3 linked regions of the Anolis sagrei genome follow. The protein of the gene in region 2 purifies or fractionates together with the protein of the main gene of each other region. This does not show direct contact. Links are inferred from orthologs where the notes say so. Each region holds a gene or a part of one and is shown on either strand. Other genes may lie near its edges. The genes, in order: PAN2, TNRC6C and CNOT10.

Region 1 (10,642 bases), about 17 Mb from region 2:
AAAAACACTACGTAATTTAATCCACAGAATTTTTGCTACCATATGAACATGTGTCAGGACTTGCCAAATCTTTGGCCTATTATATGAATACTAGTCTGAAGTTATACTCCTTTTCTTCTTTGATAAAGAGATAAACCCCAATACTATGCCTTCAGCTAATAGGGTATGTTTAACCTGCAGAAGAGAAGGCTGAGACAAGATAAGATAGCCATATATAAATATGTGAAATTATGTCATAAGGAAGAGGGAGCAGGCTTGCTTATGCTGCCCTGGAGACTAAGGGCCTTTCCACACAGCCATATAACTTATCAGTCTGAACGAATCTCCCCTTATGAACCATCTAGGACAGGGGTCCTCAAACTACGGCCCGCGGGCCACATGTGGCCTGCTGAGGGCATTTATCCGGCCCGTGCGGCCTGCCCTGGCCTCGTACAAAGCCCCTCGCCACTTGCTAGACCCAATCCCCTTGCCTGCTTCACGCCACTCGTCAGGCCTGGCAAGCAAAGAAAGCAGCAACGGGCTTCGCTCGAGGCCAGGCTGCACGGTGCAACTTGCCTTCCTCGTGCTGCCCGTTGTGCGAGCCAGGCAAAGGAGGTGCAGCCTCCCTTGCCAGGCCCGACAAGCAGCGTGAGGCAGGTGAGAAGATTGGGCCTGACAAGCGGCGAGGGGCTTTGTGCGAAGCCAGGCCGCGCGGCGCAACTTATCTGTCTCGCACTGCCCTTCGTGCAAGCTGGGCAAGGGAGGCTACACCACGCGGCCTGTTCTCGCGCAAAGCCCTCAGTGCTTCCATTGCTTGCCAGGCCCGACAGGCAGCGCAAGGCATGTGAGGGGATTGGGCCTGGCAAGCGGCAAAGGGCTTTGCGCGAGGCCAGGCCACGCGGTGCAGCCTCCCTTGCCTGGCTCACACGATGGGCAGCGTGAGGTAGGTAAGTTGCACTGCACGGCCTGGCCTCACACAAAACCCCTTGCCGCTTGCCAAGCCCAATACACTCGCCTGCCTTGCATCGCCCGTCGGGCCTGGCAAGCAATGGAAGCGGTAAGGACCGGGATTGTGGCGCAGCTGGCTGAGTGTCAGCTGCATTAAGATCACTCTGACCAAAAGGTCATGAGTTCGAAGCCAGCCCGGGCTGGAGTGGGTGTCCAGCCATTGTGTAGCCCGTTGTCGACCTTTGCAACCCGAAAGACAGTTGCATCTGTCAAGTAGGAAAATAAGGCACCACCTTGTGTGGGAGGCTAAATTTAACTAATTTATGAGGCCATAAAGAAAAAAGATTCCGGGGAATGTGGAATGCGGAAGAACTTCATTGGTGTCACTGATAGACGACGAAAAGCAGCAGCTCCCCTGGCGGCCAGAAAAAAAGTTAAATAGCCTTGGTGTATTTGTGTGTTAAACGTTGTTTGTCAAAACTGGCATTGAATGGTTGCCATATATGTGTTGACTGTAATCCGCCCTGAGTCCCCTGCGGGGTGAGAAGGGCGGAATATAAGAACTGTAAATAAATAAATAAATAAATAAATAAGGGCTTCGCTAAATTTAGGCCAGGCCATGCAGTGCAATTTATCTGCTTCGCACTGCCCCTCATGCGAGAGGCAAGGGAGGCAACACCACACGGCCTGTTCTCACGCAAAGCCCTCACTGCTTCCATTGCTTGCCAGGCCCGACGGGCACCGCGAGGCAGGTGAGGGGATTGGGCCTGGCAAGGGACTTTGCACAACACCAGGCTGCGCGCACCACAGCAGCACCCGGCTCGCATGAGGGGCAGTGCGAGGCAGGTAAGTTGCACCGTGCAGCCTGGCCTCGTGCAAAGATCTTTTAAACTTTGAAATGAAATATAATTCATGCTTACATATTCCAAAATCCACTTTATAAGGCAGAAAATAGAATTTTTTCCTCATTCTCATTGGAACTATTTTATCTTCAGAAATGCTAAAGCTATATTTTTCTATGTATTCCTATATTGCTTTCAGCAGCCCATCGTTGGGTGTGTGTGCATGTATGTGCCTTCAGGTCTCCTTTTATTTCTGGCGGCCCCATGAATTTAATGTTTTCTTTGAGAGGAAATACTCAAAAATAGTTTTGTCAGTTTCTTTCTCTGAAATATAGCACCTGCTATTCATTTGTGGCTTCCCATCCAAATTCTAACCAGAACTGGCCCTGCTTAGCATTCAAGATCAGAGGCATTTAATCTTTCATTGACTCTGCCAGGTATTATTCTTCTGTACAGTAGTATCTGTTACCCCTGTGACCCAACTTGTACAGGCAGTCCCCAACTTACAAACAAGTTATGTAGGTTTGTTCTCACTGTAAGCTGAGTTTGGTTCAATTTCATTGTTGGAGTTCAGAATGCTCTTGGTTGGCAGGGGAACTATTCATCCCAGCAACTCTCAAATGCTAAAGTCTATTTTCCCCAAGCCTTTCCAGTATTTTCTGTTGGTGATGGGAGTTTGGCAGATAGGCTAATCAGTAAACATATTCATGGATCCCCTGTTGTTATATTAAGACTATTACCTATGCTGTGACATGCTTGAAATCAAAATTTCATTTATTTGTAATGAGAAATAAATATTTCACAATGTATAATTACATATTGTTTTTGTGATTAATCACTATGCTTTATGTTCAGATTGTAACAATAAAAATACATCCTGCATATCAGATATTTACATTACGATTAATAACAATAGCAAAATAAGATATGTGCAGTGTGCATAGGAATTTTGTCATCGTTTTTTTTTTAACTATAGTCCGCCCTCCAATGGTCTGGGGGACAGTAATCTGGTCCGCTTTTTAAAAAGTTTGAGGACCCCTGATCTATGACCTTAAGACCATCTAGGGAGGCCTTGCTCTTGATCCTGCCTTTGTCACAAGCACATCTGGCGGGGACGAGAGATAGGGCCTTCTCAGTGGTGGCCCCTCGACTATGGAACGCCCTCCCTAGGGATATCAGATCGGCCCCCTCCCTATTAACATTTTGGAAAAAAGTCAAGACGTGGCTTTTTGAGCAAGCGTTTGCAAATGCAGAGTAACTGACATGGAAAATGAAACGACTAGATGATGGACTGGACAATGTTTAAACAAGGAGACGCTAATGATTTTTGTTTTATTGATTTGTTGTGGTTTTATATTACATATTAATGTTTTTAATTGTATTTCTGATATTGTGTGCATCAAATTGTTGCCTGTAAACCACCTTGAGTTGCCTGAGGGCTGAGAAAAGCAGTATACAAATACAGTAAATAAATAAATAACCCAAAATATCAAGGCAGAAAATTCCACAATATCTGCTTTCAACAGGGTTATCTGAGTCCACATTGCCATATATTCCAGTTCAAAGCAGATAATGTAGGATTTTAATCAGCTGTGTGGAAGGAGCCCCATTTCAAATCAAGTATTGTGGGATTTTCTGCCTAGATATTTTGGGTTATATGGCTGTGTGGAAGGGCCCTTAGACTCAGTAGTAATGAGTTCAAATGACTGCTGGAGCTCTCCTGGCATGTACAAATGATGCACCAGGAGAAAGGGGAGGAGAGCTATCTTCCTCTCCTCCTTCTCCTGGTGCATCATTTGTTTGCGCCAGGAGAGACTTGGCAGCCCTCTAATGGAGGCCGGGTAAGTTATTTTGCTTGGGTTTTTTTACACTGTTTTGGGGGTCTTTTGGGGAGGGGGTTGGTATTCTCAGTTTTCCAGGCTAACTTAGCCTGGAAAACCGTGGGAATACTGTCTGGACTACAGTCCAGACACCAGAAGTAATGGGTTTATCCAGCGCCTTCCAAGAAGCTGTGGAATAAATCAAGTAACAAATTAGGGTTTTCCTAGTTTGTGGTGAATTAATCAACTGGACAGCCCCATTTTAATTGTAATAACGCCCACATTAAAGGGGCTATGCCCTACAAAAGTTACAGGTTTGATCAGCACTCCTGATCCAGAGAAAGCAAATGCTATTTTTTCTCTATTTCCCCCAAACCTCAGTTAGTAAAATCACAGGCCAAATTACGACAAAATTATGTGAGTTGTAACTCAAGAAAGTAACCTTTCTCAGCGTTGCCCAGATTAGTCATGGGTTACATCAATGGCATAACCATTTTGGTTTCCTTGACAATTGTTATCCCTCAAGAACATAGCAAGATACTAAATCAAAAGAGTGGCAAAACTGTGTTACTGTTATGAAATGTGCTAAAGAGTGGGGTTGGGCAACTGGAAACTTGGGAGACACATTACTCCCCCCACCCACCCCAGAAAACACGGAAGGCTTTCCCCCATTGCCCTAACTCCCATAAAAAAAGATTTGCTCTCAAATGCTGTGGGACAAAATGAAGTGAGTTATTTCCTTTTTCCAAAACGGCTCAAAAAGGCATAACTCTCAAAATGTAATAGAATTACTCTGCATAGCATTTGAGGGCATTTTTTAAAATGGAGCCGCCAGAGGTGGGTGAAATGCCCCAACATCCTCTAAACCAGTGGTTCTCAGCCTGCGGCTCCCCAGGTTTTGGCCTACAATTCCCAGAAATCCCAGCCAGTTTGCCAGCTGTTAGGATTTCTGGGAGTTGAAAGCCAAAACACCTGGGGACCCACAGGTTGAGAACCACTGCTCTAAACCATTTTGGAAGCATTTCGGAGCAAAGGCCTATGGTTCCCACAAAGGCCTGTCCCTGACCCCGACGAGGGAAGAGGAAGTGAGGTGGCGGGCAACATCCCCGGAACCAGTGGCTCCATCCTTAAAACTGGCGGTTGTTTTGGACCAAAATAGGCCACACGTTCTGGCTCTCAAGAACGCCCATGAAAAACCACTGGGCTCCCGCTCCCCTGCCAACAATCCGCAGGCCATTGTCAGGAAGAAGAGAGGGGTTACCCACAATCCTTTGCTCTTCCGGTTTCCCAGCCGCGACCGCCGCTATGGCAACCCCAGCCCTCTTCGTTCCATCTCCCGCTCCTTCGGCGTAGCTCAGCAACAAGGGGGGCTGATTCCGACCAATCCCTGAGCGCCTTGTGGGAAGGCATCCAATCAGAGCAGACCTTACATTTTACACGAGCGGCGCTACGTGACTAACTGAAGGACGGGATTCTGAAAGGGACAAAAAGCTTGGCGGGTGTTGTTTGTAATGCTTATGAGGTTGAAAGGGGAAGTGAAGCTCGCCGCGTGGCTCGTTTACAAATCACGAAGGAGGGCGGCGGCCTAGTTTGCGCGGCGACCAATCAGCGAGTGCCCTTTCAGCCCCTCGGCCCCCTCTTAGGGTTTCTTCACGGCTTGTTGTTCTCTCCAAACAAGGAACTCGTCCTTTCCCTCCCCGTGAATCAGCGCAGGGCAGCCACCTGGAGGGATGCGCAGCCAGTTTCCTTTTGCGCAACGGGGCCAGAAGGGTATAGCCTAGGGAAGTGTATAAACACCCCTGCCGGTTTGGTTTTGCTGCCTGGCTCCCTGTTCAGAAGATGTCACCTCATGTTCTGTCCCTGTGACAGTTAGCTTTTGAAAAATTTGGCATGTTTTGGAAACAAGGGATTGGTGAAAAGCCTCCACCTTTTCTCCACAATAACAACTCTTTCAGGAATGAATTTCCTTTTCGAGGGGTAGATTTCTCTCGCTTTCTGTTGGCTCACCCTGTTCTTATCTATGAGTCATTTGTAAGTCGGAAGTTTGCAGCCTGTGTACGTTGTCTGAAGCAGTGGCTTGAGCCTTGGATTACAGCTTCGGAAACCAGAGTTTGATTTCCTTCTCTGCCAATGGAAACCTTTCAGTCAGCCCATTGTATGCTAATCAAGGTGGTCAGTTGAAACATTCACACCTAGCTCCAGCAGAAAAGAGTCCTTTGTCCCACCCTGGTCATTCCACAGATATATAAGTCCCCTTTCCCTGGTTCTAACAGACCTCACTACCTCTGAGGATGCTTGCCATAGATGCAGGCGAAACGTTAGGAGAGAATGTCTCTAGGTTAGGGGTCCACAAACTTTTTAAACAGAGGGCCAGGTCACAGTTCCTCAAACTGTTGGAGGGCCGGATTATAATTTGAAAAAAGCATGAATGAACTCCTATGCACAATGCACATATCTTACTTGTAGTGCAAAAAACCCCACTTAAAAACAATACAATAATTAATATGAAGAAAATTTTTAACAAATATAACGTTATTAGTATTTCAATGGGAAGTGTGGGCCTGCTTTTGGCTGATGAGAAAGGATTGTTGTTTTTGTTGTTGTTGTTGTGTTCTTTAAAGTTGTTTCAGACCTAGGTTGACCCTGAGCAAGGGCCGGGTAAATTGCCTTGGAGGGCCATATTCGGCCCCCGGGCCGTAGTTTGAGGACCCCTGATCTAGACCATGGCCATACAGTCCGAAGAAACCTTCAACAACCCAGTGATTCCGGCCATGAAAGCCTTCGACAATACATTGAAACCTTTCAGATTATCCTGGGCAAGTTACACACACAGCCCCAGAAAACCTTGCCTTAGGATTGCCATAAGTCAGAAATGACTTGAAGGCATAGAACAACAATGAAATCATACTTTCCAGATTCTATCATACAATGTTTTAATCGGTTGTCCTTTTCCTTCTCTAATCATTCTAGAAACAATTATCTGTGTCACCTTCTCTCTAGTATGAAGAATATTCCTCGTGGAAGTGAAAAGAAATTCAAGCTTTTACACTTGTGTATTTATCATAGAATCAAAGAGTTGGAAGAGACCTCATGGGCCTTCCAGTCCAACCCTCTGCCAAGAAGCAGGAATATTGCATTCAAATCACCCCTGACAGATGGCCATCCAGCCTCTGCTTAAAAGCTTCCAAAGAAGGAGCTTCCACCACACTCCGGGGCAGTGAGTTCCACTGCTGAACGGCTCTCACAGTCAGGAAGTTCTTCCTCGTGTTCAGATGGAATCTCCCCTCTTGTAGTTTGAAGCCATTATTCCGCGTCCTAGTCTCCAAGGAAGCAGAAAACAAGCTTGCTCCATTGAAACCTTTCAGATTATCCTAGGCAAGTTACACACACAGCCCCAGAAAACCTTGCCTTAGGATTGCCATAAGTCAGAAATGACTTGAAGGCATAGAACAACAATGAAATCATACTTTCCAGATTCTATCATACAATGTTTTAATCGGTTGTCCTTTTCCTTCTCTATTCTAGAAACAATTATCTGTATCACCTCTCTAAAATGAAGAATGTTCCTCGTGGAAGTGAAAAGAAATTCAAGCTTTTACACTTGTGTATTTATAATATTGTTGGTTTCTTTGAGCCTCTTTTAAGAAAGAAAAAGCAGCATATAAATAATAATAAATGAAATAAATATTCAAGTTTTCAAACTATGCAACATGAAAGAGGTCAAGGGCACATTTTGCCATATTTATATGGCTCTTCCCAGACCATTTAAGGCTAAGGAGAAAAAGTGAATGGGAACAAATCCCTGTTTAGGTCTTTTTTCAAAAATAAAAAGGTCTTTACTGGGCCTAAATTGGTCCAAGAACCCCAAAACATAGTGAAAATGCCCTTCACACCCCTATAGCACATTTTGAAACAAAGAAAATTGGTTTTTTACAACCTTGAGGGGACTCTGCCCATTTCTGCTCCAGAAGAAAACCCTTAGGCAGAAATGTTGATAACCCAAGATATAATGTTAGGGATCTGTCCAGAGAAGACTGACCACACACTGGGGGCCCTTCCACACAGCCATATAACCCAAAATATCAAGGTAGAAAATCCCGCATTATCTGTTTTGAACTGGGTTATCTGAGTCCACACTGCCACATATTCCAGTTCAAAGCAGATAATGTGGGGTTTTATTCAGCTGTGTGGAAGGGGCCCAGGAGAGAAATGTAATGCAGCAGCCAGGGAAAGTAGGATGAAGACATATATTTACAGTTATTTTCATATACGTACAAGTGTGCAGACTGTCTTGCAGGCAACAGTTTATCAAGGTCTGTTGAAGTAGCAGATATGTCTTGATGGAATTACCCTAAGAGTGATTTCCAGTTTGTGACATCCCTTACACTATGTAATGTGTAATGATGCAGTCCAGTAGGAATTTTCTACCTGGTGTGCTATACTTAAGCCAACCTATTGTTGTGTTACTGAGTAGTATTTTCCACACCCCAGTTGATCATAAATATGTAAAAATATAGGTTAACATTCAGTGATACAACTTTGTAAACAATGATTACTAAACCTTCAGCCCACATATACCTGAAACTACTAAGACATTTATTTGTGGGTTAGGGGAAAAAAACAAGTGGAGGGAAATCCAAACTTGGTTCTCATTTTGTCCTTTTTTTTTTTTTTTATTAAGTTTTTATTTTATGACATTAAAAAGACACACAAATACGACTGCACATACAAACAGCTAATTACCGACACAACACAGTACAAACAAGGTACAAGTACGAATAAACAAATACGTTAAAAATTGGCCAACCTCAGTTGGCCGGACCTCCTCTCTCCCACTCTAGTAGATCCTCTCTTGGTTTTCGTTTACGGTCTACGTTTGTAAATTAAAGTGTATGTATTTTCTCTGCTGTTTGGTTCTAGTATAGGTTTGTTAAACAGTGTCCTTCTTACTTTAAGAACTTTCGTGCATCATTTCTCTTTATTTCTCGCTCTCGGTTCGTTTTTCTCTCAAGATTCCCAGTTTCTAGTTAAATTTTTTTTATTATTATTATTATCTTGCTCCTTTTCATGATCTGTATTGATTTGTTCTTTAGAATGTTGTTAAGTATAAAAACAGAGGTTTTATCTGGATATTTGCATCGAATCTTTTGGTTTGCGGGGCGATTCACTTAGGAACGACTATGCTCTATATTTAGGTCTATGTATTTACCAACAGTGTATGACAGTTAGGGCTATGGCTGTGGGGGGTGGTGGTGGTATTAACCCATTTATAGTTTTAGCTTTTTCCCCTCCAACCATTCCTCAACCGGTGTCCAGTTTGTCTCTGCTATTGGTATATTTCGTGTAGTTGAAAGAATGTATGATAAATGATCCATGTTCCTTATATCTACTATTTTATTAATCCAATCTGCCTCCAATGGAATTTCCTCTTTTCTCCAAACTTTGGCGAGAAGTATACGAGCCGCCGTGACCAGGTAGACAAATAGCTTATCAGTCCCTTTGTCCCATGTTTTCCCTGTTAAACCCAATAAAAATATCTCTGGATTTAGTGGGATGTTTTTTCTTAATATTTTTTGGCAGTTTTCTTGGATTGTTTTCCAGTAAGCTTTTACTTTCACACAGGTCCACCACATGTGTTTGTAGGTTCCCTCCTCTAACCCGCATTTCCAACATTTATTACACATGTTCTTTGAAAATTTGGCAATCTTGGAGGGCGTTAGATACCACTGGTGTACCATTTTAATCCAGTGTTCTTTGATCTCATAGGCATATGAGTAGTTTGTTTTTACGATCCAGATGGTGTTCCATTCTTCTAGGGATATTGTTCTCCCTATCAATCTTGCCCATTTAACCATATATTCTTTAATTCTCTCCTCCTCTGTAGACCATTCAAGTAGTAGCCCATAAGCTTTGGTGATAAATTTTCTTGGGTTTTCTATTAATCTATCCCAAGCGGATAGGCTTTCCGTGAGACCTATTTGTCTGTCTTTTGCAAAATACTCTTTCAATTGCCAGTATTGGAGCCAAGTGAGGTTGTTATATTTTTCTCTTAACTCTTCTAATGATTTCATTCTTACTTCCTTTCCAACCTTGACAAGGAGGTCTTTATACGTGGGCCATATTCTCCAGCCTATTTCTCTCCTTTGATGAGCCTCCAAGGTGGAGAGCCATAGCGGTGTTTTTGGGTACATTCTCTCCTTGTATTGGTCCCAAACTTTCAGGAGGGCCGCATTTTGTCCTTTAAAGTGTACTGAAGATGATTTTCTTTCCAAATATGAGACTGCACCTATATCTACCAATAAGATTATTTACTGTGCATAATCTGCTTTTCTACTTACATGCCTGTGTGTATGTAAGTATCTACACACATGTACATACACACATTTTTACTTAACTGCAGTGTTTTACTGCATTTCATCCTAGGTAGGTAAATGGAAGGAACCTGCACCAAAATATTTTAGTTTGGAGTGCTTCTTCAAGGTCTCTGCCATTCCACTTCTCTGTATCCCATTTTTTTTCTTCTCCCACTCTTTTCAACTGTCGGTATTTTTTATGAAAATACTAGACTCACACCCCTTCTACACTGTCATATAATCCAGTTCAAAGGAGATCATCAGGATTTTATATAGCAGTGTAGAAGGGGCCTCTATGCATTGACCTGGTCCCCCCTTAATTTTGTCCTTAGTAATCTTTAAAAATAACTCAGGTCCCTTCCACACAGTTATATAAAATCCACATTTAAGTGCATTATATGGCAGTGTGGAGTCAGATAATCCAGTTCAAATCAGATATTGTGAATTATCTGCCTTGATATTCTGGGTTATATGGCTGTTTGGAAGGGCCCCCAGGCCCTTGGGAAGTCAGACTTGGCCACGGTGGTCCACGCTCTTGTTACAACCCGAGTAGATTACGCACTCTACATGGGATTGCCTTTGAAGGTTGCTCGGAAGCTCCAACTACAACCGACGGCAGCCAGGTTGCTCACTGGAGTGGCATACAGAGAGCATACAACCCCTCTCCTAGGCCAGCTCCACTGGTTGCCAATTTGCTACC
Region 2 (10,662 bases):
CCAGGCATGTAGCCAGGGGGGAGGAGGGGCCTTCAGCCCCCCCCCCCCCGAAATTCTCATGGTGGTTCGCGAAAAGGCCTTACTGGTTATTATTTAAACTGCTATGTTTATTCATATCATGATCTGATCACTATACTCACTATACCCCATATGCATGGGGGTATTGGGGTAGCGATACAAAAAGTTTGCTAGGGTAGACCCTCTTTCACTCAGACTCAGCCCCCCCCCCCCAAACAAACTCAGCCCCCTCTCCCAAATCGAAATCCTGACTAGGGCCTGATCGCATCAGATAGTTTTATATCCATAACGACAGAACTATAGAAAGTTTTCCCCCTGTAATTGCTTTTGATATTGCTTTTGATATGACACAAGCTGAAATGAAAGCTTTAGTTCTATATGATGAGGGGGGAAAGTACTTCAGAAAGGGAGAAGAAACCATTTCCTCATATTTTCCATCCTCCAGGGACTTCCTATTTCCCTTCAGGTAGTAAATCCTTGCCTGAGACCCCAGAGAGGCATAGATAGGGAAAACATAGCATAGTGAGAAAGACTAAGAGAATGGAGAAGAGAGCAAATGGTTTAGTTTGAATGTTGGACTATGATTCTAGAGTTTTGAATCCTCACAAGGCCGTGCAAACTACACTGGGTTACCTAAAGCAAGTCTCACTATTTTAGCTTCTAAAGGCAATACATTTTGCCCATGATAGGTTTGCCTTAGGGATGTAATAAGCCAGAAATAACTTGAAGGCACATATAAGGACAACAGCAGCATAAAGTAGCTTCCTGTATTCCCGGGAAAAGGTGATGGAGAGTGGAGAAGCCACCTTGTGGTGGATGTTAAAGAGATTTCCTAAAGCAAGGAGAGTATTATCTTAACCTTAAGGTGACATTCTTCACACATATTCTTTACACATACAAATCTCTTTCCTCTACACACATACTATGTGATGAAGTTTAAGTGGAATGATTTAACAGAGCAATTTCTTCTTCTCTTTGCACAACTCCACCCACCCCTTTTTCTTCTCAACAAATGACACCACAATATGTGGTATGCCTTAGAAGCTGATAGTTCCCACGAAGACATCATGGAGAATATATATATATATATATCAACAACCTTGGTTCTTTTCTATACCAACTTATAAAATTTGTGTTTTTAAGGATCTCTGTGTCGACAGAAAACACTGCCTTATTTTCCGTTCCTCCAATTGCTTTGCTTGTCAGCTGATAGGTATTCAACCACCATCCTGAGTAGTGACAATTCTGATTAATCCTATCTCATCCCACTTTTTGACCACAATACTAAAGACAGTCTATCTCCATATGACTTCATATTACTAATAATTGAAATCCTTCTAGCACATTCCTCCAATTTCTGGTATGATTGGTAGATACCCAGGAGAGGGACTTTTCCATTGTAACACACAGTATGTAAAACATCCTGTCCTGTTAAGTTATATTTTTTCCCAACTCTTTACTGATGTTCCACTGCTGACTGAAGTTCAAGGAGCTTTTAAATTTACCTGGGGCATAATCATATTTAAAACTACAGCAATCTTTCTCATCTTTGCCCATAGCCGCTGCATTTGGTATATTGCTTTTTCCTATTTAATTGACTTGTTTGTTTTTTAAGTATTTATTGTTGTTGTTGTTTTGTTATGTAATCATTTCAAGCACTTTCACTTCAGAAATAGAAAAATGAAAGGATGTAAGTCCTTGAACAAACCTTCTGCTTGATGTTTTGATGTCACTTACCCATAAAGCTACTAAATAGACTATAGATCTGGGATACTGTTGAGAATAGCTCTTTCCTTGTATTATGTCAGATCATGTAAAATGAGATGGGAGTGAGAGGCAATTAGGGAGTATTCCCAGGGGTTACCTTCCTACCTTCTGCAATGATGAAATGCTTCCATGATTGGATGTCCTCTATTTATTTGAGATACAAGTCTTTTCGTAACCCTGAGCACCTCCAGACAGGAAGTTTTTGATACTAACCAATAGATCTCTTCGGTTTCATGAGTAAGGACAACTGCTTTATATATATTTTCTCTCTCTTTCTGTGAGATTGTTTATGTGTATGTACATCCCACAATGATCTGCCCAAACTAATACAGGCAGAGAGTTTATTATTGATCATTGTTAATTGCCTAATGACATGCATATGCATTTCTGGCATCGATGTAGATGCCACAAAGGGATAATTATGAGCATACCAACTGAAAAGTTCAAAAGTCAGATTAAATCAAGACTATAATCTTTTTGACATCATTTGATCATTATTCAATCACCTTTTTATTAAAGATGCGCTTCACCCTGCGATTTGGGATATATTGTCATCTTCTGCAATATATTCAAGGGCTTATCTCAGACTTTTCTGTGAATTTTAAAAATATGCTGTAACCCCTTTAATCCACAGTGTAGCATTCATTTGGAAGTGAAGCTGCATTAAATAATAAGTGGAAATGGGGCCTTAGTCTACTTTAGAAATAACTTCTGAAAAAGAGTGAACACATTTTTTAAAACCCCCAGTGTGCTTCAAAATTCTTGTTATCTTTTCCCAGACCTGAGCAGATGCAGATTGGGCAAAACAACAAAGTGCCTTGTAATTTTGTACATTTCATCCAGTACAAGCTTTTGTGAAATGCAAGCCAGTAGCTACCCCCGAAAAGTGACCAAGCAAAGCAGTCTTTCACTCATGTTGAATATCAACCACAAGATGGCTCCCTGAGCATTCTCTTTAAATAGTTTGCTTGCTTTCTGAAGAGGCTGTCTTGCTAAAAACAACTGCTTGACTTACCTTTCTGTGCATGTTGCCTAAGGCAAAAGTCATATCCCGGTAACTACTCAAGTTTATCTTTTTAAAAATAAAGAGAAAATTCAATCATGCTGCTCATTGTCCCAATGGCACTTACTGTAATTAGGTACAAAAGCTACTAGAAGGAGTCCCTTGAAGTCTGTGCCATCTACTACATTCCATCTTGAGAATCTGACCATACAGACTTCAAGAAATCTGTATTCAGTTAGCCTTTCTCTGCTTTTTACAACTTATTCTATGAAGAGATCTGGGGTTCCGGAAAGCTTGCCCACAGTTTTACAAATATTTAGACTCGCTGTACATTTTGGATTTTTTTCTTGATTAACACAACTTTGTTTTCTTACTTTCAAAGCATTGTCTCTTATCCTAAGGTACCATTGCTCAGTTATGAATAATGCACATAGCGGATATACTGGGCTAGGGATGATCAGATTATTATCAATAAGTATGAGGATACCTTCGTGACTGTCCTTGGATTATGTGGCTGGTCACCATCATGTTGCTGTAGATTAGTGGTGCCCTCCAGGTGTTTGGGACTCTAACTCCCAGAAGCTCTGGCCAGCTTGTGTAGTGATCAGGAATTTTGGGAAGTGAAGTCCAGAACATCTGAGGGACCAAAGGTTGGACACCACTGTTCTAGATGATCCTTGGATCTGATTCTAATCCAGAAAAAGAATCAGGGCTTGGGAAGTTACTTTTAAGAACAATGACTGGCAGCCTACATTTCAGTTATGGATTTGTAACCTAAAGTTACAGATCTGTATCTGCTCCATATTTAGCCATGTTTCACATTCACAATTGTGGTGCTACTGCCATGACTGCAAATGTCCATCCAAACATACCTTGAATATCATTTGAAGTGGGGTGCAAGGAAAACAAAAGAGCCATCACCCACAAAGAGTGATTGAAAGTCTGTTGTTGTGGTAAGCCGGCTAGAGCAAGATGATGTTTCTATCTCCCTCCTACCGCAATCAACGCTGTGACAATAAAAAGTAGGGTCCTCATTGCACAGCAAATCATTGGTGGAAGGGAGCTGAGAAATGTCATCATGCTGTACCCTGATTTTTAAGAGAACAGGCACCCATTTCTCCATGTGGCTGCTAGCATTTAGAGTGGGGTTTTGGAATCTGGACTGGAGACAAAATGAAGTTATTCATTCATAAGTATTTATTTAATATAGTACATTATGGATTATAATGACATACTGGAGCCATACATAACTGAAGGATAATACCCTGGGTCTCCTTAAAAGTAATTTTCTAAGTTCTGGAAACACATCATATATAAATGGAAATTTGATTTAACACGCAACTCTAGAAATTTCTCCCAGAGAGACCACTGGCTCCAGGTTTTGGCTCACTGGCCCCAAATGATATAGGTATTCCTTGTCCTGGATAGCATTTTACCAAACTAAGTGCTATCCATGGGACATCTATTGCATTTAAATCCCTATATGCATAAATTTCAAAAGAAAGGGCGTAGTAATCATGCAAGGAAAAAGCAGTTATTAAGGTGGTTTAATGCAATGAGAAAAGGTTAGCAGAAACACCAAGTTCACGATCACTCCATTTGCCAGATGGAACAGGTACATGTGGTTTGTGTTATGTGCATTCAGTTTCCATACTTCTAAGTTCTGAAAATCACACTTATGACCAAGTCATAAAATAAAAAAAATTCTATGTGTCTGGTAAACATTTCAAATATTGTGTGTCAAATAAATCTGAACCTACAGTTTTCTAGGTCTCAGTTGTCTAAGTCATTTAGATACCTAAGGGGTGTTTTGTTTTATTTTAGTCTTTCCAAGTAACTTTGCATTAAGCACCCCATTTTCTCCTGCAAACATCTGGTTATTCATACATCTTGGATGCCTCCCAGGGGATCTCTGATAAATGAAAGCACGCTGGGTATACATTATGTGTCTACTTACAATGGTACATTTTTACAGCTGAATACCACAAACATGCATATAAATCATTACATCATAAAAAATGTCATTAGGAAGTACTAAAGTTTCCAAAATTTAATGCATATTGTCCTAGCTGTAAAAGACAATACCTGAGAAAACCAGCTAGGATTACAATCAACAAATTGGTACAAAATGGAAGGAGGAGCTAAACCAAATGTTAGCTATAAATTTTGTGAACACCACTGTTAGATATTCTTTGTTGTAGAAATTGTACAGCTCAGAGTTATGACACTCATTCTCCATAGTATCTCAGTACTCAGCATTTGCGACAAAAACAAAAGACAACCCTGGCCTGCAATCGCTCTTTGTGCAAGCTATTGTCTTACCTGGCTAGGTTGGACTGCAGAATCTTTGATGCTGACCTTCCCATGAAAAGCCATTCAAGCCCATCCTCCCTGAAGACTCTTCTGGAGATCAGCGGCATCTCTGCATGAGGAACATGTGACGGTCAGTTTAAACAAGGAAGGACACATCAATTTACCAAAGGCCTAGTGCACAACATGTTGCTGCCTAAGGCAGAAGAACCGATAACCTGCCCTCCCCAGTCATCTGGGTTGCAAGATCCTCAAAGCGAGCCAAATTCTTTGGGCATACAAGGAGGGGAAAAATCCCATAAACACTTTTCCTCATATCTGGCACTGAACAAAATTATAACAAACCAAATAAATATGATTTAATTGCATAATTAATTAATTGTATGATTGATTGATTGCACTGAAAACCTTCCAAAGATGCTCTGTGGGAGAAAAATCCTTCTCTACCTAGGAATTTGTCAATTACACTTATACCCTCGCTTCCCTACATCATGGTGATGTAGATTCCTCACTTCTTCCCCATTTGATCATCATATCAACCCACATTATTTTACATTACATTTTTTCTTAATTGGATATATAACAAATGTAAAACAGATTTCTAAAAGTTTTCCCATTCATAACCATCTGTTGTATGATATAATAAATCAGGTTTGTGACAGTTCTTCCTTCCTGATTGTGATCAGGTAACTCAAACTAAAAATCAATTCCAAGTGTTGCCATAACTTTCTGACCTCCTCCTGTTTCTACATATGGTTTCATTAAACATAGGATCTTTTACTCTTTGGGGATCAGTTACAAAGAATGCTAAGCTCAAATGCTTCTGAATAGTTCAGCCCACTGGATCTTCTTGTGTTAATACTTTGAGTCTTCTTATCTAAATCATGCTATATCCCTAACAAGCAGGAAGAAGTTTTGCAAAATCCAAGAGAACTATAATTTAAATTAAAACATAAAGTTTTTCAAAATTAATTTTAAATACTTATTTTATATTCTAAAAAAAAAAAGAATTTCCAAAAGTTTGCTTAGAAGGCACACAACAGAGTTGCCAGATCAAATCCAAAACTTTACTAGGATCTTTATTTTGATCACAGCAAGTTTGGGAACTCTTTGTTTGGCTATGTAGGTTTTTAAAAAACGTATTAGGAGTTTACTTAATAAAACAGTAAAATATATCCTACCCTCCACCAGCACTGACAACATTACATGATTCTAAGTGTAACCAAATAATTACTTGTAGAGATAGCAACAAATGTAAGTAGTCAATATCCAAAAAGTGCCCCTTATGACTTCCGGTTGGGCGGCAATGGCAGCTGGCAGGGCTCCGGGGACTCTCCCGAGAGCCAACCCTTAAGCTGCAAGCAGAGGGGGTGTAACCCTCAACCCTTGGACCGGATCGAGTGTCCAAGAGACGCTATCTCCATAGCACCTCGAACCGACGGTCTAAGAGTGGGTCCCCCTCAAGGAGACTCACCAAAGACCCGGACGAGAGGAGGCTGGGAGCTGCGGCTTGCTGCAGGGGACCCGGTCCCAGGGAACTGGGAACTGGGATAACAGCCGACCGTGCGCTATTTTAAAGCGGTGAGAGTGGTGGGATCTGGGAGACGGCACACCAGCAGCTGGAAGCGGAGCCCAGAAAGGGTAAGACTTAATAAAACAGTAAAATATATCCTACCCTCCACCAGCACTGACAACATTACATGATTCTAAGTGTAACCAAATAATTACTTGTAGAGATAGCAACAAATGTAAGTAGTCAATATCCAAAAAGTGCCCCTTATGATAGCTCCCAACTTATGTGGTTCAATTGTGAACCATGTCTAGAGCATGCCATATATGTTATAAACAAATGTCATACTGTCTGAAATATATATTTATGGTTGCGAAGTACTTTTTAAGTAGAGGGACAATTGATGGTCCCTCAGACCACTGGAGGAGGTGGACTATAGGTTGGGGAAAAAATGAACGAATTCCTATGCACACTGAACATATCTTATTTGTAGTAAAAAAATCATGAAAGAACAATACAATATTTAAAATAAAGTATAATTACCAGCATTACAATGGGAAGTGTGGGCTTACTTTTGGTTGATGTGATAGTCAAGTTAATTAGGATTGTTGTTGTGTGACTTCATGTCATTTCAGACTTAGGGTTACCCTAAGTCTAAAGTTTAGGGCAGGGACTGGGTAAATGATCTCGGTGGGCCGCATCCAGTCCTCAGGCCTCTGTTTGGGGACCCTGTACTGGGTGATCTTGGGCAAGTCGCACTGTCTTAGCCTCATGTATTGATAGAATGTATTAATTTGGGGGGGGGGGGGGGAAGAGATGTGACCATCATTACATAGAAAGATACACATTTTTGTGAAAGGGAATGGTTCTTGGTCTAAGGAAGGAGATAGGTCTATGCCGTAATTATCAAGTGTTCCATTGCTTCCATATAACTGTGAAAACTGGGTAACGTAAATGTGTAATAGCACAGAAATGTTTCTGGATATATATACAATACATTATAAGTATAAAATATCAATAAACTTCATTGTGGCTACCAAGAAGTTTTACAGAGAGGATTAGCTGTACTTAATGCTTCTTTACCAGATGTGGTTTGCCCAGTATCTCAAATCCTGTAGAGATGGCAATTTTCACTAGTCACCCAGCTACTTTTCCTTCCTTCCTTCTTCCCTCCCTCCCTCCTTCCCTTTATTTATTTATTCAAAGTTTTAATGGCTTGCTAGCCAACAGCTCTCCCTATCTGGTCATCTTTAATTCTTCTTCATGTAAGCTTGCTGCCCTGCAGCATGAATCTGTTGCTTTTTGTTTGTATTCCAGTTCCATCATGTTTTTGAAGTTCCTCCTCCAACTTCAGTCTGCCTTCTCAAACAAAATGGAATGCATTCATTTTCTCTTGACTTACTCCTTCCTCTCTGAACTTTCCATGTTTTTGTCCCTTGAATCCAATCCTTTGTTCTCACTGCCTCATTAATATGTCATGACCAGGTGGCAGAATACATTTGAGGCCTTTAAAAGCCCCAAGAAAATGGATTCTGTTACCTCCAGGATTCTGGAGGCTATGGTTTGGTTGTGGGAGAGAATACTGTGGCTTTGCTAGAGAAAGATGGTTGATACTCCCATTACAATATTTATTTAATATATTTGACCAGTTGTTGTTTTATTTAGATTGAATCCATATATTTGCATATTTCACTAGGTCTACTGTGAAAGCTAGCCCAGATAGCAGTGTGCAAACGTTTATGTCTCACTATCAACGCTGAGGAAAGATTCACCTGTCAATCCAACTTTTGCACAAAGAAACAGGAGAGTGCTATTTTGTTCTTTGCCAATGTCATCTTGATTAAGATCTGAAACTTATTTACAAATAAATACAGGGCATTACAGATACTTTTATGTGTGAATTTTAAAGCTGCAATCCTATAATGCTTATTTGGAAATAAGACCGACTGAACCTAGCAAATTTATTTCAGAGTAAACCTGAATACGTTTATGCTGCATATTGACTGTGAACTATGTTTGCATGATTTATGAGAGGAATACATTATAATTATAAATCTAGAATACAGTGGAAAGAAGGCAAGCATCACTTAAACTTGCTATTCTTTCTATTAGGACCTTCTCACATGCACCACCGTAATCTCCCTGGATCACCGCAGATTGCAGTGATACCAGCAGCACTCATCCAGGGCGCATGGCAACCTGTTGTCTTGCACCCTGTCATGGTTTAAAAAATAAATGTCATAATTAAAATGGTAAGGTACTGAGGCCTTTAGACTTGGCCACATTGCAAAATGCAGAGTCACTCATGTCTAGGCCTAGGCACTCTGTAAATTAATTAATTGAAAACAACCAGTTTTATCCACAGTCATGACTGCATTTTACAAATTTTAATATTTTATTATGCAATATTGTAGGTGTGTGCGGTAATCTCATGTTATTATCATGTTTGTGAGATTACAATTGCCCCAAATATTGTTTATTTGAGCCGCCCCCAAGTCCCTTTGGGGAGATGATGGCAGGGTACAAATAAAATGTATTATTATTATTATTATTATTATTATTATTATTATTATTTATTAGCACAGTCAGGTGACTGAGCTAGTGACTCATGGGGGAGAGTAAAAAAAAGCAGATACCTCCTATGTGCTCAGCATAGTCTGTTGTAGGACAATGGAGCTGTGGATGGGGCAAAGAGCTGAGATAGAGAGTGTGTATATTGTGTATATAGCTTTGTCTTCTGAAGCAAGTGAAGATAAAGCTTTCCTGCATACTGCAGTGAAAGGACTTCTATTATTATTATTGCACAGTGAAGTTTCCTGCATTGCTCAAGGACTCTAGGACCCAGCTGACTCATGGCTTGGGGGTGCTTCCAGTACTCTACTGAGGCAGAGGAAAATACCTGACATGCCCCACATTGTCCTGGCTTCCCCCCTACCTCAGCACATATGGGGAAGCCTTCTTAAGTTGGCTCAACCATCTTTCCCAATGGAAAGATGGGAAGCCTCCTGTGGACCACCACCAGCGACAGGGTTTTTGAGGCAGGGTTTTGGCAGCAGTTCAGCCCTGGAGCCATCCCAGAAGTACTTCTCCAGGGTATGGTGAGAGCCATCGGGGTCTATGGCTGAACTGCTGAACACCTGTCATAGACCACCAAAAAATAACCCATGTGAAGAAGTCCTATGACCAATGAGGCCCATAGATCCTACTGTTGTATCACGCTCCCCCCCCTCCCCAAAAAAAGACACACAAAGCCTCCAACATGTACCAATTGCCAAAAGCCCACCCACACCCACAGAAACCTCATTTGGTGACATCATTTCCTGTCATCATTTTGGGAAGGACATGCACAAAACTTGAGGTATTCAGGCACAATGTTGGTGGGGTATATAGTCCACTGAGGAAAATTTGTCTCCATTTCTCACCTTTGTTATACTCGTCTATGCCATATGTCTTTGATCACACCATACATATTAATTCACATGTGTTAGATGAATGTCAGCAAAAAACACATCTTTTAAAGCTGTGTGGCATGCAGACAGCAAATCTTGGGTGGTCCTGTCAGACTTCTAAATGAGGAAAATTGACTTCAACAGTGAAAGATGTAAAGTTATATTAGGTATCAAAAAGCAGAAGTGTTCTCTTTTCAAGGTTGCACCTGAGCAAGCTCAGAATAGTCAGTTACAAGATGGCTATACAATTGAAAAAGGCACAAAGAAACATTCAACAGTAAATCTAATTATTGTTTCATCTCACTGGAATATATCATTATTGTAACAGGTAGTTTGTACAAGTTTGAACAAGTTTAATTTTACCATAAAATACTTTAGAGAAATATGCTAATTTACTATGCCTATCCTATCCCTAGTTCATGGACATACAGACATCTGACATACATATGGCTCTTAGTTAAGAACTGGGGTGAAACCGCAGGAAGTGAGGGAAATTAACCCTAGGAAGGCAAATTCACTCCTTAAAGACTTATTATCATGGGGAAAATATGTCTCCACTTAACCTTTCTCACCAATCCTTGTTTCCACAACAAGCCAAATTGTTT
Region 3 (10,296 bases), on a different chromosome or scaffold from region 2:
AGAATTCCTTATGAAATCAAACTTACTTAGATATATCTAGTTTGAAGACTCCTTGCAAGGCATTACATGCAACAGAATATTCCTCATACTCATAATATTCTACAAAGATCTGAACATAAGCATATAAAAATGAGCTAATTTGGCCAGGTGTCCATCCAAATGCCTATTTGCTTCCATAGTTGAGGCATCTTTACATGTATTTCAGAAAAGGATGTGTAGAATTCATCTGCTTTTTTATTGATCAATATTTCTGCAACACATACTCCTTTTTTCTAAATTGACGATTCTAGCTGAGGTGCAGGTGTAAGTTACAATTTAAATAAACTAAATCCAATGTAAATCCTACCTATTGACATCAATGGAATTTACATTAATTAACACAACTTGTTTATTTCAATGGGTGTGCTCTTGTTAGGACTCATACTGGATTTTGCCAAGTGAACACAACTGCTGAAAAACAGATGCTTGCCCCCCCCCCCCCCCCCCCACTTAGAAGAAGGCTGGAGGAGACAGGAAGAACCAGGAGCCTTTTGCTTCCTTATAAACTTACCAAAAGGTTCTATGAACTGGTAAAGCTTCTCTCCAATTACTATTGCTTCTGTGTACTGTCGCAGATGATACAAAATAACAGCTTGATTGTAATACAGCATGCTGTTTTCAACATCATCCAAGCCATCCATTTCCTCAATTGCTGAATGAACCTGAGAAAGAAAGAACTGAAGCATTGCCCATACATTTTCGGACAGAAGACAATCAAATAAAAAGAGCTGAGTTACTATATTGGTGTTACTAATTGGCCCCATTCTTCCCAGAATGAACTAATTCAAGAAAATAAGACTGCAGCAATCAGTAGTGATCACTGTTCTATTCTTAGACTATTGTAGTATAAGGCCACAGATGTAGGCAAGTAACTGGGTTTACTATATTGTATTTATTGCATGTATGAGTATTAAATACTTAATGTTACAGGAAAATGATAAGACATTTTAAAACAGAGAACAACTTCTCAGTCTGGTTACAAAGCACAATTACAAGAAAACAATACAGCAGTCTAGTTTGGTCTAGTTTGTCCTTTTAATTCCATTACCTTAAAGGACAAAATATTTTCACAGAATTGTGCGTGCTGAGAAGTGTGTGCACATTACAAGAAACTTTAATTACATACTGGGAAAGGTTACTGCAATTATAGATATGCTGCAAAACTATACCTGGTTTTTCAGCTGGTTAAGTGTTTGCTTCAAGTTATCGGTTGTTGTCTGATTGCTTTTGCAGAATTCTGTTACTGCCATATTCAAAACTATTTTGTAGTCATCCTTGTTTATTTCTTGCAAACAGCTAAGATGTTGGAGACAAACATCATAGTTTCCGATCTATAAGTTAAAATTACAACATTTGAATAAATCTGTGTTGAAATAAAAACAAAATTAGAATCCCAAAGCACTTGCTGTTCATTTACACTTACAAAGGCAGATCACATGTGGCTCCACCCTTTGAACACAAGGTTTAGAAGAACAGTTGCTGGTCTGTTCAACCACAGCTTTCCATAAAATCCAATTTAGCAAAGATGCCAAATAAAGCATGTTTAATCAATATATGCTACATCTTGTCTGTACCCAAACACTACCCCTCTACGCTTGGTTCGGCAAAATTATCTCAAACCATTCTGCTCTAAGCCAAGAGTTCCTGGGTGCAGAGCATTAGAGATTTGGTATGCCTTGACCACAGTGTTCTCTGCAGAAGGTCAATATAATATTAGTGTTGCATAATCTTTTGGGACTCCAATGACATGGGAATACAGCAATTGAGTTTTTTACAATATGTTATGTTATTCAATGTAGAAAAGGAGAGACAGAAAAATACCTTTTCCATACAATTGCAAAGCAAGGTCATTAATTTCAAATAATGTTTGACATAAAAGAAAAGCCGTGATTTAAAAATAAAGTTGACTACTAATAGTTCTTCACAAATTTCGTAATCAATGGTAAAATTCTGATAACTGAGGCAATTTATACTACAGTGATTTACTGTTGTTAGGGAGGATACATGTTAAATAAGCTTATTTGACTAGATTTTTACTTAGGAAACAGTATGCAACACCCCTTATATGTTATCAAACTACACATTTCAGCAAAAGAATGTTAAGCTTGGTAATAACTAAACCACATACAAGCACCAATATACTTATTAGGAAATATAAGCACACAAGTATGGAACATTTTTCTGTCTTTGCATATGTCATTTTAGCAACAGAAACAGAAGTGAAAAGACAGTAACTGCCAAGAAGCAAGAACTAATAGTTGAGAGACATTGAAAAACCCATTTTTTTCTTGGATTAATACGCAACTCAGCATGTGACTATGATAAAACCTTCCATTAATTTTCATAAAACCGTATTGTGTTAGCATATTTATAAGATTTCTTTGTACTGTACTTTTGTTATTTAGTGTAGAGGAAGAAAGATGCAGATTGATTTTGAAATAAAATATTCTAATTTAATCTAAAAAATTTCCAGAAGAACAATTAAAAATCTGTAACACACACATATAAAGAAATTAATAATAAAAGTCCAATCACTTAGGCCCCATTTACACTGCAATATAAAATCTAGATTATCTGCTTTGAACTGAATTATATGGCATGTAGACTAATGTAATCTCATTCAAAGAAGATAATCTGGATTTTATATGGCTGTGTAGATGGGATCCTAGTGAAACATATTTTTGTCATGTCAAATAAAGTATTTCCTGAAAGCAGAAAAGAAGATTTGTAACCAGATGTACCTTCTGTTTAACATAACAAAATTGAAGAATCGTATCTTACCGTAAATGCTTGCAGTGCACTGTTTGATAGTTCCTTCTCTTGATCAGTAATCCCAGAAGAGATACCCGTTCCTTCATGTTTTTCTGTTCCTTGATCTAAGTAAGAAATAATTGAGAAGAGAAGAAGGGAAATATAAGAAGATGAAAGAAATCAACGCAGATCTTCAAGGACAATCTTTTACTCTTGTTAGAGAGAAGATATCAGTTGGAACTCTCCCCCCCCCCCCCTTTTACTTCACTTTCTGTTCCAGTGATAATAGGATTTTGAAAAAATCTGGCTTGTTGTGGAAACAAGGGGCCCTTCCAGACAGATCCTACATTCCCAGGATCTGACCCCAGGTTTTCTGCTTTAAATTGGATTATATGAGTCCCCATTGCCAGATAATCTGGGATAAACAGAAAACCTGGGATCAGATCCTGGGATATATGATCTGTCTGAAGGGCCCAAGGATTGGTGATAGAGCTTCAGTGGAGACACCTTTCCCCCATGATATCTCTTTCAGGAGTGGATTTCCCTTCTGCAGTGCAGATTTTTTTTACTTCCTGCTGTCTCACCCTCGTTCTTAACTATGAGTCATTTTTAAGTTGGATGTTTGTAACTCTGAGACTGCCTGTAATGCAGTTGAACTGCATTATAGGCATTATTTAGGTGTGTAGATCCATCCCCACTGCAACTTTAGCTCCTTCTTCCCCTGCCTTCTTTCTCTCAGGCTCTGAAAGGAGAAATCTCCAAGCTGTGTCCAACCAACCTAGAAACAGAATATTATTAAAGAACACAGAAATGCTGGACCACTATAACAACTACCATGTCAGACTACACTGAGAAGCCACTGAAATCCACAAGCATGTGGACTATTTCAAGAGAAAGGAGCAAACAATGAAAATGAACAAAATCTGTCTACCAGTTTGGAAAAAAATTCTAAAATCAGGACTATAAATAAAGAACAGCACTCACAAACAGGGGAATTCCAGACAAGAAACAATCAGGACAGCTTTTTCCCCCCCTCATTTCAGGAGTGACTTGAGAAACTGCAAGTCGCTTCTGGTGTAAGAGAATGGGCTGTCTGCAAGGACGTTGCCCAGGGGACGCCCGGATGTTTTGATGTTTTACCATCCTTGTGGGAGGCTTCTCTCATGTCCCCACATAGGGAGCTGGGGCTGACAGAGGGAGCTCATCTGCACTCTCCCTGGATTCGGAACTGCTGACTTATTGGTCAGCAGTCCTGCCGGCACAAGGGTTTAATCCAGGGGTCTTCAAACTAAGGCCCGGAGGCTGGATACGGCCCTCGAAGGTCATTTACCTGGCCCTAGCTCAGAGTCAACATAAGTCTGAAATGACTTGAAAGCACACAACAACAACAACAACAACAACAACAACAATCCTGTCTCATCAGCCAAAAGCAGGCCCACACTTCCCATTGAAATACTAATAAGTTCATATTTGTTAAATTTGTTTTTCATTTTAATTATTGTATTGTTTTAATGTGTTTTTTTTGCACTATAAATAATATGTTCAGTGTGCATAGGAATTCATTAATGTTTTTTTTTTTCAAATTATAATCTGGCCCTCCAACAGTCTGAGCGACTGTGACCTGGCCCTCTGTTTAAAAAGTTTGAGGACCCCTGGTTTAATCCATTGTGCCACCGAGGGACTCCTAATCACTTCCCAACAAAGGATTCCCTCAGGCAGGAAGCAGCCAAGCTTTGAAGCTGCGAGGCTATTCAACACTAATCAAGGTGATCAATTGCAACATTCACACTTGCCTCAAGCAGGCATGAGTTTTCTCCCACCCTGGACATTCCACATTTATATAAACCCCTAGTTTCCAACAGACCTCTCAATCTCTGAGGATGCCTGCCATGGATGTGGGTGAAACGTCAGAAGAGAATGCTTCTGGAACATGGCCATAATGCTTAGAAAACTCAGAGCAACCCAATCCCCAAACTGTTTTAGACTCCCAACTCCCAGCTGCTTGGGCCAATAATCAGGGATTCTGGGAACTGGAGTCTAACATAACTGAGCGACCAGGGCTTTAAAGAGACTTGAGATTCCCTTGACTTGAGATTTCCAGAGAGAAAGCCAGGAGAGAGATACCGAAGGAAACCCTGTCATAGGTACCCTTCCTCCCGCCAAGGGGCCTGGGCTGGCCTCCTTCCCTCCCTCGCCGGCCTCGCCTCTTTGTCCTCACCTCCGCCTCTGTCTGCCGCCATGGGGTGGCTCTACTGAAGGCTCCCGAGGTAGCTGCGGCCTGGGCGGACTCCACGACAAGGCCTTCCGCGCCTCACAAGCCTCCGCCTGAGGGAAAAGTGAGGAGTCGCGAATCAAACAAACCAATTTCTCCCCCTCAGCGCCTGACCCGGAGCTTCTTCTTCTTCTCCTTCCGGTTCGGGGAATGGGAGCTTCTCTAGCCCCGAACGTCTCCTCGCTGTTCTCAGCGCAGGGAGCGTCACGTGCGTAAAACCTGCAGTGGGCGGAGCTAGAAGCTTTCAAAGTTTTAGTGGGCGCGGCCGACAGGAAAAGAGAAGAGGGACCCGGATGTCAGCCTACTTGGGAATAGCAAGTAGCAGCAAACTTGGGCCCTCCCGGTCTTTTGGACTCCAGCTCCCACAATTCCTAACAGCCGGTAGGCTGTTAGGAATTGTGGGAGTTGGAGTCCAAAAGACCTGGAGGGCCCAAGTTTGCCCATGCCTGATCTACGCTGTAAGATAAATGTAGTGTGAGCCCATGGCACTTACAGTGGTCTCAAACTGAATTAATTCTGCAGTGTAGATGGATCCTCCACCTAAATCAAACCTTAAGCCTCCTATTGAGGGAGGGGTGATTATATTATATTATATTAATAATGTTGTAATATTATATACTAGCCGTCCCCTGCCAGGCGTTGCTGTGGCCCTCAGAAAACAGGAATTCCAGGCATGGAACAATAGAGACATATGGAAGGGACATTGAGAAATGGAACAGAAGGTAGATGGATAGAACATAGGTAGGTAGATGGATGGATGATCAGACAGACACACATGTTAAAGGGGCCAAAGGGGGTTGGACTAGATGGCCTTTGGGGCGCCCTTCCAACTGGTTGGCCATCTGTCGAGTAGGGTTTGATGGTGTCTTCCTTTACCGCCCAATGAGGTTGGACTGGATGGCGTTTGGGGTTCCAACTGGATGGCCATCTGTCAGAAGGGCTTTGATGGTGTCTTCCTTTACTGAAAAAGTGGTGGGGCTGGATGGCCTATGGGGCCCCTTTAACTACCATGGCTTAATGCTGTGGAATAATTCCATGGTGTAGACCAAGTAGGGGCAGACTTGGGCCCTCCAGGGGTTTTGGACTCCAACTCCCACAATTCCTAACAGCCTTCCTAGCAGCCTTTTGGGGTTGGAGTTGTTTTTGTCGCTGTGTTTTTCAGTGTTTTTATGAGTGATGGTCACTTGTTGGCCTGATAAGTGTATTGTCTCCAAATTTGGGTTAAAGCGCTGAGCTGCTGAGCTTGCTAACCAAAAGGTCGCAGGTTCGAATTTGGGGAGCGGTGTGAGCTTCCCTTGTCAGCCCCAGCTTCTGCCAACCTAGCAGTTCGAAAACATGCAAATGTGAGTAGATCAATAGGTAACAGTCCGGTGGAAAGGTAACAGCGCTTCATGCAGTCATGACGGCCACATGACCTTGGAGGTGTCTACAGACAATGCCAACTCTTCAGCTTAGAAATGGAGATGAGCACCACACCCCAGAGTTGGACATGACTGGACTTCATGTCAGGGGAAAACCTTCACCTTAACTTATACACCTTATGATACAGTACAATATATTATATAGTACTAATGGTATAAAATACTCGTAGTGTATTATATGTATTGTTGTATAATAATATAGTATAATATACTGCAGTATTCATGTTGGTTTGTTTGCGGAGATGTGGTTAGTTAAATAGCCTGGACCTGAACCATTTAGAGCTTTATCCATCTGAGTCTATCTATCTGAAATGTGGTCTTCCTCTTATCTTTCCTACTATCTTGTACCATGTTGTTGTTGGCCCTTCCACACAGCCCTATATCCCAGAATATCATGAGAGAAAATACCACAATATCTGCTTTGAACTGGAATATATGGCAGTTTGGACTCAGATAACCCAGTTCAAAGAAGATATTGTGGGAGTTTCTGCCTTGATATTCTGGGATATAGGGCTGTGTGGAAGGGCCCTAAGGTTCTGAAAAAGCACAGAGAAAGAGCTGATTCATGAAACAGTTGCTGGACCGTTTTTAGCTGTGTTTCTGTTGTGTTAAAAGTGTTTTTCCACTAGGTGGCATTATACAGCAGGTTAGTATGCATTTTAAATTTTAAAAGTCCTCTGAATAGCACATTTATTCTGGATAGAATGTTATTTTCATGCAACAAAATGTATCCCTTCACCTACATCAGTGATCGGGGAACTTTGGCTTTGCAGATGTGGAGCTGCAGCTCCTTATCACTAACTATCCTGACGAAGGGTGATGACAGTGGCACTTGGGACAATGCTTCTATAGGGTGTCTGATGCAAGCCTTTTAAAGCTGCTCTTAAAGCGTTAAAATGTTATAACCTTGGAATTAACTATCATTTTCCAGTCACAAACTAAGACAAGTGTTATGGATTTAATTACATAAAAGTGATAGCTTCCCAACCCTGGGGAACTAGAATACAGCAAAAATCTTTGAGAATTAGGTTTTGAATAAAGAACCATCTGGGAAAGATAAAATGTGTCAGCTTCTTACCATTGCCTCTCATTTTATTAATTAATAACCTAACTCAAGAATTACATTAATGCTGACATTCCAGCACAAATGGATAATTTTCATTTTAAAAAAAGTACCCTTTTATCATTACAAAAATTTCAACTTAATTTATTTTAGTTTCTATCCCTGTTCTTATCTAACACAAACAGTATATGCACAATATATTTAAAAGTAATATAGGAAATGGGATTTCTGCAGATATCATACAAGCTTCAAAAATTATCTCTCTCACATAACTAATAAAAAATATAGGAGTCCTTTCCTCTTTTTCACATGATCTTTGGTTTGCCTTTCATCTTTCAAATATGGCCATTCCAGTCAGGCTTGATCAGGAAAAGTAATTTCAGAGAAGAAAGTGGGCCTGTCACCAGACACCAGTATGATCCAACTAACCTCAGCTTTATAATTGTTCAGTTGTCCCTCCACATTTGTGGATTTAACTTTTATGGAGTTGATTATTCATGGATTTGATTAATATGATCTTTAGATCCTGGCAGAAGCTGACCATAGAGTTGCATTGGAGAACTTCGAGATTCTGAGCAAGTTGTTCTCTTGGGTAGCAAAAATAACTATTTAAAAATTCACATTTTCCCATTTTCATAAGGGTCCTGCACCCTCAACCATAGCAAATGTAGGAGAACTGATAGTACTTCTTAGTTATTATTTAAATCATTTCCCATATTTTCACCTCCCCCTCCCAGTTAGTTATAAATAGAATATAAAATATAATAAAATATGCATTCGAAATAAATAACAGAAATAAAAATACAACAATAATAGACACCCAACTAGGTAGACACCCCCCCCCCTTCCAGCAGCAGCCTTGAGTTCCTATATTGACAAAAAGGAAGGAAAAAATAAGTACATATAGAGATTATAAAGTGATTAAAAGTTTTGCTTCTGAATAAAGAACGGAAACAGAACAAATCCTTGCCTAGGGAGTTCCACTAGAAGTCGCTATAAAGCTCTTCTCTTGTATCCTTGCCAGCTAGAGATGTGTATGTTTTGAACTACTAAACAATTACCATGCAATTTAAATGAGAAATTACTTTGTATGTTAATCCCTTCTGCTTTCTATTTCAACAAATATAGGCAGCTAATTGTACTTCTGCACCCCCGGCTAGAATAAGCACATTTGTTTAGGTGTAAATACAGAATGTCTAAGAAACTTCATATTGTAACTCTGCTTTGCATTAGCTCCTGCATTTATGTGTCACGTGGGAGAAAAGGGCGGGGAAAGGGAGTCAAGAAATAAACATCTCACCATGTTACAAATCCAATTATCAGTGACAGGGCTAGTAAAGTCAAGTGAGTAATGCTGGCTAAAAGCAGCTTTGTGTTTGGCATCTCACTAGAGATTGCTAGAGACCAGCTGTACAAAGCGGGGTGGAACACCAGGTTTTGGATATACCATACCATGTCACCGTACTTTTTCTAGCATACACCTGTGTTGGAGAGAAGGAAGAAATCCAGCCCCACAGAAACAAAATATCTATTCCTGCTGCATTTGAGCTAGAAAGCAGAATTAATGCCTGGGTGTAGTCAGTCATAACCACAAGACAGCTCAGATTTAAAGGGAGCTTTAGGCAAAGCTCGGCTAATAGCCCTGGAAGAGGCAGTTCTTGACCATATGTCCAATTCAGAGAATTACTCTGCCCTGATATTTCAAGTACATTTGGACTGACTGAAATAAGGCAATTTAAATAATTAATATTGTTCCTCAATTGCTTTTAATAAGGATTGTATGTTGGGGAAGAAGGGAAAAATTAAAGTCTCCTCCTCCTGGGCAGTTCTACCTATAATGCAATTCAAAGCTGGATCCAGAGCAGGTTGTCGACAAAATCCACACACACACACACCCACAGGGATGCATCAAGCCTGCAATAGCATGTTTTAAAAAACTTAACCAGAAAGTCTGGAATATGGTAGATAATGTGCTGCAGTTGGATCAGAGTATATGTCATGCAGGGCTTGAAACCAGAACTGAAAATTTGGAGCGCTTGTCAGGACACCTCTAGTGCTGAAGCACATTAAAGATGCCGAAACATGGCTGGCTGAAAGGTAAACAATTACTCCCCTTGGAGAAAAAACCCCCACATAATTCCCATGACAATGCTTGCTTTTCATCCCTTTGTTTTATGTTTTGTCACTTATTATGGTCAAGTGCGGATATCAAACTGACATGGATATGTGCATCAGCAGGCCAAGTACAAAAAACCCTCTGCATTTTTGGGTGGATGTTTAGCCATGGGTGCTACCTGTGTTTAGGTTCTGATCCACAATCAGCAGGCCACCATCCCAGCCTTGAACCAGGTTGTTTGTGTAGACACAAAACGGCTTGTTTGAATCCACTTCCAAACTGGATTATAGTGTCTGTGTAGAACCACCCCATTTCATATGTCACCTTTCCAATATTCTGTAAATATCTGGAGAAATGAATACAGTTGGCGCTCCATAACTATGGATCCATAGATTCTACCATGTATGGCTTGAAAATATTCAAAAACAAATCCAAAAAGTAAATCTTGATTTTGTCACTCTATATTAGGAATATCATTTTACTCTGCCCCTGTGTAGGGACCTGAGCATCCATGGATTTTGAAGCCAAATTCCAGTGGAGATACCAAGGGCCTATGGGCTTAATTTGGTACTACCAAAAGCATCATGAAATAATATTCATGATACTTTGTTGGAAGATTTAATCAGCAGTATAC

The links.
Region 1: the proteins of TNRC6C (region 2) and PAN2 purify together in Homo sapiens (affinity purification with western blotting; 3 studies listed by BioGRID and IntAct, with this or other methods). This does not show direct contact. The link is inferred for Anolis sagrei from reciprocal best matches to the Homo sapiens genes TNRC6C and PAN2.
Region 3: the proteins of TNRC6C (region 2) and CNOT10 purify together in Homo sapiens (co-immunoprecipitation; 3 studies listed by BioGRID and IntAct, with this or other methods). This does not show direct contact. The link is inferred for Anolis sagrei from reciprocal best matches to the Homo sapiens genes TNRC6C and CNOT10.

What each region holds. Positions count from the first base shown.
Region 1 is NC_090022.1:138,615,368-138,626,009, forward strand, and holds the start of PAN2 (PAN2-PAN3 deadenylation complex catalytic subunit PAN2), read right to left. Parts: upstream 4,979-10,642; 5' UTR 4,851-4,978; intron 1-4,850. UniProt on the Homo sapiens protein: Catalytic subunit of the poly(A)-nuclease (PAN) deadenylation complex, one of two cytoplasmic mRNA deadenylases involved in general and miRNA-mediated mRNA turnover.
Region 2 is NC_090022.1:121,164,735-121,175,396, forward strand, and holds the start of TNRC6C (trinucleotide repeat-containing gene 6C protein), read right to left. Parts: upstream 5,200-10,662; 5' UTR 5,165-5,199; coding exon 5,111-5,164; intron 1-5,110. UniProt on the Homo sapiens protein: Plays a role in RNA-mediated gene silencing by micro-RNAs (miRNAs). Required for miRNA-dependent translational repression of complementary mRNAs by argonaute family proteins.
Region 3 is NC_090026.1:81,511,794-81,522,089, forward strand, and holds the start of CNOT10 (CCR4-NOT transcription complex subunit 10), read right to left. Parts: upstream 5,258-10,296; 5' UTR 5,031-5,257; coding exon 5,009-5,030; intron 2,916-5,008; coding exon 2,821-2,915; intron 1,371-2,820; coding exon 1,209-1,370; intron 702-1,208; coding exon 551-701; intron 1-550. UniProt on the Homo sapiens protein: Component of the CCR4-NOT complex which is one of the major cellular mRNA deadenylases and is linked to various cellular processes including bulk mRNA degradation, miRNA-mediated repression, translational repression during translational initiation and general transcription regulation.